Rattus norvegicus: one gene and its partners. The protein of the gene in region 3 binds, or shares a complex with, the protein of the main gene of each other region. Links are inferred from orthologs where the notes say so. Each region holds a gene or a part of one and is shown on either strand. Other genes may lie near its edges.

Region 1 (4,314 bases), on a different chromosome or scaffold from region 3:
GTAACAGGAGGAATCCTCAAGCTAAAACTCAGGGCCTTCAAGGTAGGTATGGTGACACTGGCCCTTAATCCCAGCACACTGAAGGCAGAGGCAGGCTAATCTGTGTTGAGGCCAACCTGGCTACACAATGAGTTCCAGGACAGTCAGGGTTATACAGAGAGACCCTATCTCCAAAACAAAACGGTAATAACATAAAAGCCGGGGTTCTTCATGTCATGGTGGTACACACCCATAATCACTGCACTCCTGACAGAATGACCGCCCAGAGTCTGGCCCATACAAGTTCCAACTCAACCTGGGTCTTAGGATGACACCATGACCCAAAACAACAAACATTTTGAGTGTTACATTCACAAAAGAGGGAGATATTTTAGTATTGAATTCTTCATGGAAATACTCATGCCCATCAACATGATCTTCGACCATCAGGAATGCTCAAAAAACACTGCGCCCACACATGAAATCCAAGCACTCAGGAAGGAGAAGCAGGCAGATCTGAACTTGAGGCCAGTTAGGGATAGATACTGAAATCCTATCTTTCTTTTTAGAAACTATTTACTTCTCTAGAATTATTTTATGTATGAGTACACTACAGCTGTCTTCAGACACAACGGAAGAGGGCCTCAGATCCCATTACAGATGGTGTGAGCCACTATGTGGTTGCTGGGAATTGAACTCAGGACCTCTGAAAGAGCAGTCAGTGCTCTTAACCTCTGAGCCATCTCTCCAGCCCGAAATCCCATTTGGCGCCCTCTTCCGGTGTGTCTGAAGACAGCGACAGTGTACTCATATACATAAATCTTTTTTAAAAAGTGTCTTTCCCACATTCCCACCGTCTACATATCCTACAGGACTGTCCTCTGCCTGGACCACCGATTGGGACATGGATATACTTGGGGTTGGCCCTAGACACTAGTCTGGGCCTAGAGATCGCCTGCGAGCCTGAAAGTAGAGGCTAGCCTGGGACTAGGGCACGGATCTAGATGTGAATACCCACCTGGAAACATATGCACACTGTCCTTATATGTAAACACTGACCATGTATTGACCTAGACATAGATGCCAGCCTACGTCTGGGCTGCAGGCCTTCAGGGGCTTGGACCTGAACAGTGCCATGCAGCTGGCCTATGGGGCCCGGTCCAGCTTTCACAGCTTCCTGTTTCCATCCTCACTTTCTCCCGCAGTGATTCTTCCCTTTCTCAAAGCCACAACCTACTTTCCATTTCAGAACACTCGGGAAAAGGACGGATGGCTAAGCATCACGTGGCCTGGAGACCACGTGACGCCGATCGGCACGTGACACCATCACGAGCCAAGTGGAGACTCCAGGAGAAGAGAGTAAGCGGCAGGCCGGCGGGCTCTCGCGAGACCCTCGGCTCACGTGACCGGCGGGCGCGGCACTGTTCACGTGACAGGCGCTGCCGGCCGCAGGGTCTTCTCGGTGCCGGCGCCGCAGCTGCCGGGCCTCTCGAGTCGGTGGACGCGCCCTCCCGCCGGCCTCGCCGCCCGCGCAACCGCCGTCCTTCGGCCTCGGCTGCGTCGCGCCATGGCGGCCCCGGGCGCCCGGCGGCCGCTGCTCCTGTTGCTGCTGGGTGAGCCCAGGAGGGAGGGAGAGCCGGGCGGGGTCGGCGTCTCGGGACCGACGGGAACGGGGCGCCAGGCCGGGCGGGAACGGGGGTGCCCGGGCCGCAGGCGTCGAGTGGGCCTCGAGCCCGCCAGCCCGCTCCGCAGTGGCGCTCGCCGCCTCGGTGCCCGTGCGGGCCCAGCCTGGGACGCTCTGTAGGAGCTGGGATGGACCTCCTGCTAGGCAGTGCTGCTGGCTTTGAGCTACCTTGTGAGAGGAATGGGTGCTGCCCCGACCCTGCCTGGGGTGCCCTTCCTCGCCGCTGTATCCCAGCAACGCAGAGTTTGGCTGCAGTGCCAGCATCTGCAGGACAGGAGAGGGGTGGTTGGCCAGATCACCTGAGCGCACAGGTTCACGATTTCCCGAGCACCTGTCAGGACCCATCGGACCCCAAAATCCTGTGACTGACTTTATGGAATTTGTTTTCCCTCTTTATTTTGCTGTTTGTATGAAACGAACTCTTTAGTCTCTGTGAGAAAGAGAGAGGTGCGCTTACTCGGCGGTTTCAAACCTGAAGCCTTGCTGAGGGACCTGTGACCCTTCACGGTTCAGTAGTTGTAAACGCGAGTACCCGAGTTGCTGAAACAAGTTCTGTCGTGTCAGAATGGCGTAATTAGGAGAGTTCACAGGGCTTGGTAAATAGCAGGAGTTATCCAACACTGCCAAAAAATTTAAACCCTTATAATGTTTATGCTTTAAAAAAAGTGGGGGGGTGTCAACCATGTAGAACATACTGTCCCCAAACTCACAGGTTCTCGCTGCCTCTGCTTCCTAAATGCTGGTTGGGATAAAGCTGTGGGACATTGGGTTGGGCCTCTTCATGATTTTAAAACTCCCCTCTGGCTGGCATAGTGGTTTACACCTTTAACCCAACGCTAGAGAGGCAGGGGGATCTCTTCAACATGCCATTCTGGTCTACATAATGAGTTCTAAGACAGCCGGGACTGGAGACCCTGTTGCAAAAATAAAATAAATAAACAAAGAATGAATGAGTAAAACTAATCAATGGTGGCTCACACTTGTTAGACCTTGGGGGCTGGGGCAGGGAGATTTTAAGTTTGGGTCAGCCTGAGTTAGGTAATGAAATCCTTCTGTAAAAAAAAAAAAAAGAAAAGAAAAGGAAAGGAAAGTGGACGGTGGCTTATGCTTGTAATCCAAGCACTTAGCAGGCTGATGTGGGAGAATTTCTGTGAATTGGAGGCTAACCTGGGCTACAGAGTGAGACACTGTTTCAAACAAAATCAAAGTGGAGAGGATAGATCTGTGGCCCTCATTGAGTGCTGTATGCCATAAATTACGTCCCAGCTTTCACGAAGGTTCTTTAACAACTTTGACGGAGATCTGAGATGTGTGACTTCAAAAATAATTTTATCTTTAACCAGTTCTATAACTCTGGAATTGTTAATTGTTCCTAGGTAAAGCTCCTCCGAGCTGCTTAAGTGCTTAATAGAAAACAGCCTTGTGTGAACTGAAACTAGTAAGCGTGCTTGCTTAGTGGGGTGGAGTTGTTGGTGCTGACCCCCCGACCTTCCCCTTTCTGGATGAGCCCTGTACAGCAGTCTAGAAGAATGAGAGGTCTAATTAGTGTTATCCTGGATTGTGGGACCTTGAATTCTTCATTAGATTTTTAGTCAAGCTGTTCAGTGGCCTTGTAATTTTGAATTTATGTTCTCTTAGACACAATTCAGACATTGTCATATTGACCTGCCCCTTCCCCCTTTTTAAGATTTACTTGTTTATGTATATGAGAACACCATGACTGTCTTAAGACACATTTCTGGACATTGGATCCCATTACAGATGGTTGTGAGCCACCATGTGGTTGTTGAGGATTGAACTCAGGACCTCTGGAAGAGCAGTCAGTGTTCCTAACCTCTGAGCCATCTCTGCAGCCCAACCTGACCTTTTAATTGGACACACAGACTGTGGCCCCTGCACTGGGAATAGCCTGTCTCCTTTGCTCTGTTAAGAGCCCCAGTCCTGACACATGAGATTGTGTGGTGCTTTCATGAAGTGGCAGGTTTGCAGAGTAGTCCTGAACTGAATCTAGAGGAAGGAACTCTTGACACTTTCTCCCACAACACTCTGTTAGCTTGCCCTAACCCATGGAAGTTAGCCAGCAGGAAGGGAGCCATCCCTCTAGAGGTGGTAGCTAGTGCAGTGTGTGGAGTAGAACTTTGGCCATTTGTTTAAATGTTCAGAGGTGATTATCACTAGACAGGAAACTGAATTCAGGGTGTGGTTGGCTGGAGACAGGGTCTCACTGTGTAAGTGATCCAGGCTGGCTTACCCAGCCAGTCCTTCACCCCGCTGGAGAAGCAGTGTGGTCAATAGGCCACACACTGAAGCAAACAAACTGGGCCACTCACTTCTGATGCCCTAAAGCAAGCTACTATCTCTGGGCCTTTCTACCTCAGCAGGAGGGAGTCATGGTGACAGCCTTTTCAGGTTGCCATAGTAATTTAACTGAAAAGTACTTTAAGCAGTACTTGTCACAAAGTGAAAGTGTCACAAGTACTTGTTAAGCAGGGCTTGCTGGGCAAAGAAGAAAGCCCCCAACAAAAGTGGTTAAGTAGCAGGAGTTTTTGGTGGGATGGTGAGAACTGAGGTGTTCTGACAGCCAGCCTCTGGGCTCTTCACTCTTCCTGTTGTCAGTTTCGTAATCTCAAGGTGGTTAGGTGGAGGCTGCT
Region 2 (3,646 bases), on a different chromosome or scaffold from region 3:
TGCTTTAATTACTGTCTGTAATAAAAGGAGCAGAGAGCGTACTGCGCGCAATCAGTGCTGTCAGCCACGACTGAGCCCAAGCTGCAAGCTCATCATGGGAGTGGGCAGCAGGCCCCAGAGAAGGGCCAGGGAGTCAGCGGAGGCCACTCTGACAGCAGGGGAGGGGAAACAGAGCCACACAATCCAAGGTATTAGCCCCAATTACTCAAAATCTTAATGACGCCTTAACACATGAGGACACTGTTGATAATGGCAGATCTTGAAAAGCACCAACCCTTAAGTATCTTCTGACCGTCTTCCTTCACAGCCTTTGACTCTGATATTTGGATCCTAATTTTTTAATGTAACATTATTTAGAAAAATCAATTGTCTTGGTTACATAATGGCAAAGTGCTGGAGGATTTAATTTTAGCCCTCAGCAAAATTGCTGCAAAGGGTAATTAAGTGTTTCATCTTCTGCTTATCCTTAAGGCCGTCTTCCAAGGTGAAAATGCACCCTAAGATCTGCTCAGGTCCAAAACGGAACCCAAGCACGGAACCCAAGTCAAGGCTTAACATCTGTTTTGGAGAAAATACACGGGCGTTTCTGACTGAGAATTAAGGAAAAATAGTAACTCTGGGGAACCTCTGGAGGAAAACTGACTGCATCACCTTTTCCTCTTGGTTTTGGAGTTCGTCTTGGCCACCCTCTGGTGTTCTGCTTCTGCCTCGCTTCCGGTCTCGCTGTCTTGTCCACTGGAGGAGTCCTCGCTGCTGTCCTCGCTGCTGCTGCCTGAGTCTCCACTCTCACGTCCAGACCCACTCTCTGCAAGACAGAGCAGTTTCACTTAAACCATTCAATTAGTGGAGGAGACCATAACATCGACAGCGACAGAGGGAAACGAGGTACTGCCTTAGGAGGACCTCGTCTGCTCAGAGGCAGTCGGGAAGGACTCACACAGAAGGCGAGATGAACAAGGAAACACGCCCGCCGAGAGGGTCTCTCTTTAACCTAAAGCAGCTAGCTATGGCACACCTTTGTGTTATGAAAGAAGGAATAAGAGTGGTAAAACAAAGAAATCATTTTAATCTTCCTAGGAACCAATTTTGAGAGAGAAAAGAGCTTTTAAGTCATTCCCCAAAAATGTCTAAGTTTATAAGCAGAAACTAAGAGTTTTGACTTACTTTTGCTAGCCTGAGCTAACATAGCATGCCTGTGTTCCTGCAGAGGTGATGAATGACGATCTGGGCATGATGGAGCACACCTGTAGCTCAAGGATTCAGGAGGCTGAGGCAGGATGAATAAGCTTGAGTTCAGGGCCAGCCTGGGCTACATGTGGGTCATTCTCTCAAAATACATATATATTGGTGTATGTAGTAAAATGCAGCCTAATTTTCACTATTACACATGACCTTAGGTGCAGAGCTGTACAGTAAATCAAAGGGCAGCCCACTGCCCTGCTCATCACCCACAGAGTGAAGTGCCCCCAGCATACACAACCTGAGGGTAAACGCTGCTCCCACACCTGCTTCGGGGCATTCCTTTCTATGCCACGGTGCAAAGCCAGGATGGCTGGGTTCTCCCGTGAGAGGCCCAGGTTCAAATCTTGGCTAAGCCACTCCCCAGCTCTAAGACTGCAAGTTACACAACCTCTGACTCCCAGTTTCCTTTTCAGCAAGGGAAATACTTCAGAGCCGTTGGGGCAAGCACATGAGTCGAAGCATGCGCAACAGGACTGGCGCACAGCAAGGCACCTGCCGTAACATCCTCCACAACCTACCCGAACAGAGCTTCTACACAGAGAGCTGCGATCTGCTGTGCAACCAGAGAGAGACAGACAGACAGACAGATGGACAGACAGGACAGAGAAATATAACTGATTCATACTAGAAATAAAAAAAAGAAATTACAGGGCTGAGAGGTGGTTCAGTGGATAAAGTGCTTGCTGCACAAGCACGAGAAGCTGTATTTGGCTCCCAGCACCCAGCACGTGTGAAGGCAAGCATGGTGGTGCTCATGGAGTGTTTGGCAGAGGTGGACAGATGGAGGGTCGCTGGTGCTCATTAGTCAGCTTAGGAAAAAACAGTGAAAGACTGCCTCAAAAACTGAGGTGCGAGGCTGAGAGACAGCGCTTGCTGCGAAGCTGAGTTTGACCCCTTAGAACTGATCCCTTCAAGGTGGCCTCTTATCTCTACACAAGTGCCAAGAATTGTGCCTCTCTCCCACACCTGTAAATGAATATATGTAACCAAAATTTGAAAAAGAGAGACATGTGACATTGACATCTGGCCTCTACACATGCATGCACAGGTGAATGTTCTCACCTCACACACAGGCACACAGCATTCCCACCCACCCACCATCCAACCCTCACGCAAAGAAAAAGGGAGCAGGCAAACAGCATCAAATTCATCCACTGCCTGTCACCACATGGGACTCAATGGCAAGCTGTGTCCAGCTAATCGGATGCAGCTATTTCCCTCTGGGCGTACAGAAGAACCCCTCTCAGTCCTGTGTACTCAGACAACCTCATCAGGAGCCACTGAGGTGAGAGAACGCCATAAGGATGTTGAACAACGCTAACCTGGGCACAGGCTTGTAAACAACTTACATATTTTCTATGTTAACTTTTGGGTTGAGGTATTTGGCTTATTATAGAAGAAGACAATGTATGGGGTTAATTTATCAGCTATTACAAAGCTTTTCAGAGGGCGGGTGAGAAGGAGGTAGAGAACTCGGACACAGCTTGGGCCAGACTGCCACCGTGTCACACTTTTGACTTGTGACTCAAACATGTCCACTAATGTAAATCACACGCAGAATTTTAGTTATAAAGTTTTGGGTTTGCTTTCATTTTAGTTTTACTTTTTTTTTGGTCTTCCAAGACCATGTGTAGCCATGGCTGTTCTGAAACTGTCTCTGTTGACCATGCTGGCCTCGATCGAGTGTAGTGCACTCGGCCTCCTAAGTGCTGGGAGTAAGGTGTGCTTTAAAGTCTCCTCCCCAGCTCTCAGCTGGGAAAGTAGGTGCCTCGCTTAGTGGTGCAGCTGAAGCGGGGATTCTCAGTCCAGGCCTAGATGCTTTCTTCAGTACACACTGCTCTCAACTTCCTTCCTAGTTCTGAAAGTAAATCCTGAGATGTCTTTAGTTTAGTAACAGACTGGAGGGAGAAAGAGAGGAAAAGATAAGGGCATCTTATGTGACAATACACTTCAATTATTATAAAGCCCACCACTGTCACTGCTGCTATCAGAGGGATCCTCCTCCTCATCTTCTTCATCTTCCTCTTCTTCCTCCTCCTCCTCCTCAGATTCTGAATAAAATTTCTTCTCAGGTTTTTCTTTCTTTGTTTTTCCAAGTGGGGTCCACTCTTTTGCCTGTTTATATAAACAAAGGAAACATTAATGAATTCTTATTACAGGACGCAGACTCCTGGCAAGTTCACTGTGAACTCAGAAGAGAAGTTTGAGACTTTCATAGAGAAACCAAGTGCTAGACATGTAGTCCTGACAGGAAAGGTATCCATTCCAAACACAGAATATATATTCTCATTCAGAGCCCACTGTTACGTCACTCACATTATACTCCCAGACTGTTAAACAATGTGTTTGTTGGTCCACAGAAGACTTAACCTACAGTAACAAGATAACATACTTGACACATAAG
Region 3 (3,646 bases):
CTTGACTACACAGCAACACAATACATTCCACTCTAGATTAGTTTTTAAAGACAAGATATGTGTATAGTCCAGGATGGCTTAGAACTGGGGATCCTCCCACATCAGCCCCCCAAATGCTAGAGAAGTGTGTGCAGCTAACAAGATTAACATTAGTTTTAGTCTATTTATTGCTGGTGATCCTGTCTCCAGCCTGTTACTTTCCAAGTGTTTTAGAAAAACACTGCTTTAATCATATTATTTCCCTGTTCAGAAACCTTTAGTGCTCCCTGCTTGTTTTCTGATAAAAGTTAAATGTTTTTTTTAGGCCCAGCACAAGTGTTCTCCCATCTTGGCTTCCTGTCCTGCTGGGACGGGAAGAGGCGTAGGCCAATTGCACCTTCTCCGAATGTCCTTCAGCGCTCAGTTATGAACAGCTCTACTTCTGCTCGAGGGGCTGACACAGCTCAGCCTCCCACTTTATGTGTATTTTCCTCATAAGTGCTCTTACTTATCTTACTCCACATTCTACTGATTCTGCTGGGTCCTGTGCTAGGGCCACTTGGTAGTTCAAGAAAGATTACTTCAACTATTGAACCATTCTTTGGTATGTGTACATAGGTGTGGCACTAGGAAACAGACTCAGGGTTTTAGTTTAATAATCAAGACTCTGTATCCGTGAACTTACAACTGCTCTCCTTTAGTTGCCCTAGTAGTTGGGATAACAGGTGTGCACACCACATCCAGCCTGAACAATTCTCTTATATGTCATCATCCCATGCTATAGTTTTACACTACACATTAGTAATTTTTTCCTATCCATTTTTTTTCTTAAAAGTTAAAAAGTATGAAATGGGCTGGAGAGATGGCTCAGTGGATAAAAGTGCTTGCTATACAGACATGAGGACCTGCCAGATCCCCGGACACACATAAAAAGATGGATGTGGCTATGTGCCGCACATGGCTAGGGCTGGGAGCCAACCTAGCTCCAGGTTCAGAGGACCTCTTCTCCTCAACAAAGAACTCGGGTGAGAGCAACAGAACATGACACCTAATGTCCTCCATGCACATGCACACATTCATAATATATATTTTAAAACATATACGGCAAAAATGAGGATGGCTGGCTCCTTAGCTAAAAATAGTCAATGTGAACATTTTAGCATTTTTCTCTTTGTAAATATCTCTCTCTCTGTCTGTCTGCTTGCCTGTCTGTCTACCTACTTATCTCTCTGTCTGTCTGTCTACCTACCTACCTACCTACCTACCTACCTACCTACCTACCTACCTATGTATCTATCGAGTTTGTACTGTTTCCCCCACCAAACACACTTCGTACTGTGAGAGATCTGCAGTGCCTCACTACAGTGTCCATGAAATACCACAGTGCTCTTATTTAAACCGTTTTCCCAGAGTGTAATTCCCCAACGTTAAAAGGACAACCAGAGATTTGGCTGGAGAGGTATATAGCATTCAGTAAGAATCTTCCTTTATTAGACTTTTTTTTCTTTTGCATGGAATCCCATTATGTAGCTCTGGCTAGCCTGGAACTCACTCTGTAGACTAGGCTGGTCTCAAATTCTCCTGAATGCTAGGATTAAAGGCTTGTGCCACCATGCCCGCTTTTTGTAGATTTAATCGAAGGATGAACTGAATATACTGAATTTCTAGATATGGCCTAGAATTATACCCAATTGAAAGCTTATTTATAAAAAAGCATAAGGCCCAATATGCATGACATCTACTAATGATCTAATTTTCTACTGACTAGTTTTTCTTTCTCTGAAGTATTGTGCATTGAACCCAGCAACAGGAAAATGAGCTGTATAACCCTAAAAGTCCTTTGTCCTTCAAGACTGAGCCTCTTTCAATAAACAAAACAAAACAAATTTCTCATTCTATATACCAAATTGGCCCTGAACTTAGCAATTCCCAAGTGATATGATTACACATGTGAGCTGCACCTGACATATTATCTGTTTCTGTTACTGTTCTCCACCTTCCAAAAGAAAAGGGGGCCTGGCCAGATGGGCCAGTGGGTAAAGGCATTTGATGCTATGCCTTAGGACCTGATTCAATCTCCAGATTGCATGTGGTAGAGGGGGAGAACCAACTCTCACTGTCTTCTGACCTCTATGTGTACACTATGGCATGTGTGCATTCATGTGCACACACACTTACACACCGAGAGAGAGAGAGAGAGAGAGAGAGAGAGAGAGAGAGAGAGAGAGAAGAGATATACATTCATTTAAACATTATTGTTAACTTTAATTTTGGCCAAACTGGACTGCCCTAATAGTCTGTCATATGAGCAAAATGAGCTGTTCATACAGTTTCAATGGATCAGTTCCTAGCAGTGTTTTCATTTTTCATACCTGTAATAGAATTGACGACAGAACGTAGAATTGTTGGTGGTTTAATCAGTTCTTTCAGAATGTTAGATTCGGTAGCCAGTGGGAATCCATTGTCTAACATTTCTTCCAAGAGCTCATACACTATGACCACATTATCCTTAATTGCAGCCTCTGAACACTCACCAAAGTAGTCCTAACAAAACAGTCATGGTGTTGAACAAGAGAAGGCAGGGAGGAAGGCTTGCTGTTCTTAATCCCCTTTGTAAACTACTGGAGTAAACTAATAGTAGGTTAACTCATGGTTAATGAGGCTAGAAATATATAGGCTTGAAAAAAATTCTCTATGGAAGTCCTAACATTTCTCTTCAATATTTTCTTATTGTATTTATACTGAGCTGATTCCTACTATATCATGCCAGAAAGTACTGAGACATTAATCTGGAATGTGAGGCATAAACTTCATTTGCCCTATTAACCCACACCCACACACTTACAGAGCTTTAAGCCATTTGGTTTACTCGTCAAAACAATAGGAAATAGACAACAGAAATATAAAGGATCTCATGATCAATAAAAACTTTGTGATGATCCAGAGAATACTTGTTGGAGGGCACTCCTGTCTCCTCATGATATAATTTGCCGCACATAAAAAACAATGAGTAGAGTGGCGATGTGTGCTACCGTATACCCTCAGCACGTGTTTATGAGATATGTTTAGTTGCAAAGAGAAGTCAGACAGTACACAGAAACTTCAATAACCAGTGTGTGTGTGTTTGTGTGTGTGTGTGTGTGTGTGTGTGTGTGTCTGTCTGTCTGTCTCCTTGAACTATCTTGGGTGATTTAGTTTCAACAGTTTGACAGATACAAACCTGAAAAGTGTCAGCAACTCGATGCAGAAACTCAATTACAAAGAGAGGTGGCACTTCAGTCTGTATCACAGACACAAAGAAGAGCTTATCCCGGTAGATACTAATGAGGTAGTGGTGAGGTGTTGAAATGACAGGTGGTACATTTTCAACATCAGCAGCTTTCTCCTGAGCTTCAAAGAAATAGTCACACACAGATTGGCTTACAACGCTCTTCCAGTGTTTTTCTAGAAATATGTCGCCAGAACAGTTGATGAGAAATAGACTGTGGATCATTTTCTGTGAAGGAAAACAAAGGGGGCTGGAGGTTATACTTATTGTACTCTGAAAATGCACAGTTGCAGTAGATGGCAGTGAATGCAGAGACTCACCACTGGATGAAGCACAGAGAGTTACTTTGGAGCACTCAGCCTGAAATAGGAGGTCTATCAAACCCCTCCCCTCAAGACT

What was found.
Region 1: the proteins of Ap3m1 (region 3) and Lamp1 are in contact, whole or in part, in a cryo-EM structure (PDB 9C5A), measured with the Homo sapiens proteins. The link is inferred for Rattus norvegicus from reciprocal best matches to the Homo sapiens genes AP3M1 and LAMP1. Residues at the interface, in NP_001307192.1 of Homo sapiens: Glu178, Tyr180, Phe181, Asp182, Gln381, Val389, Asn390, Arg391, Leu392, Phe402, Lys403, Gly404, Val405, Lys406; in NP_005552.3 of Homo sapiens: Ser410, His411, Gly413, Tyr414, Gln415, Thr416, Ile417.
Region 2: the proteins of Ap3m1 (region 3) and Ap3b1 are in contact, whole or in part, in a cryo-EM structure (PDB 9C5A), measured with the Homo sapiens proteins. The link is inferred for Rattus norvegicus from reciprocal best matches to the Homo sapiens genes AP3M1 and AP3B1. Residues at the interface, in NP_001307192.1 of Homo sapiens: Met1, Phe15, Leu16, Glu17, Trp20, Lys21, Ser22, Val23, Gln26, Val42, Glu43, Asn44, Val45, Pro46, Pro47, Val48, Ser50, Tyr55, Ser58, Ile59, Tyr60, Gln71, Thr72, Glu73, Val74, Pro75, Pro76, Leu77, Phe78, Ile80; in NP_003655.3 of Homo sapiens: Leu60, Lys64, Val67, Gly68, Ile70, Ala71, Lys72, Gly73, Ile92, Glu93, Lys96, Leu97, Val100, Arg104, Glu107, Asn128, Gln129, Leu130, Arg137, Arg143, Ser163, Pro164, Tyr165, Lys168, Asn169, His172, Gln175, Lys176, Leu202, Ser206.

What each region holds. Positions count from the first base shown.
Region 1 is NC_086034.1:83,072,193-83,076,506, reverse strand, and holds the start of Lamp1 (lysosome-associated membrane glycoprotein 1 precursor), read left to right. Parts: upstream 1-1,443; 5' UTR 1,444-1,546; coding exon 1,547-1,592; intron 1,593-1,598; exon of another isoform or gene 1,599-4,191; intron 4,192-4,314. UniProt on the Homo sapiens protein: Lysosomal membrane glycoprotein which plays an important role in lysosome biogenesis, lysosomal pH regulation, autophagy and cholesterol homeostasis.
Region 2 is NC_086020.1:27,449,834-27,453,479, reverse strand, and holds part of Ap3b1 (AP-3 complex subunit beta-1), read right to left. Parts: intron 3,358-3,646; coding exon 3,213-3,357; intron 806-3,212; coding exon 652-805; intron 1-651. UniProt on the Homo sapiens protein: Subunit of non-clathrin- and clathrin-associated adaptor protein complex 3 (AP-3) that plays a role in protein sorting in the late-Golgi/trans-Golgi network (TGN) and/or endosomes.
Region 3 is NC_086033.1:3,302,628-3,306,273, reverse strand, and holds part of Ap3m1 (AP-3 complex subunit mu-1), read right to left. Parts: intron 3,476-3,646; coding exon of another isoform or gene 3,473-3,475; coding exon 3,200-3,472; intron 2,524-3,199; coding exon 2,352-2,523; intron 1-2,351. UniProt on the Homo sapiens protein: Part of the AP-3 complex, an adaptor-related complex which is not clathrin-associated. The complex is associated with the Golgi region as well as more peripheral structures.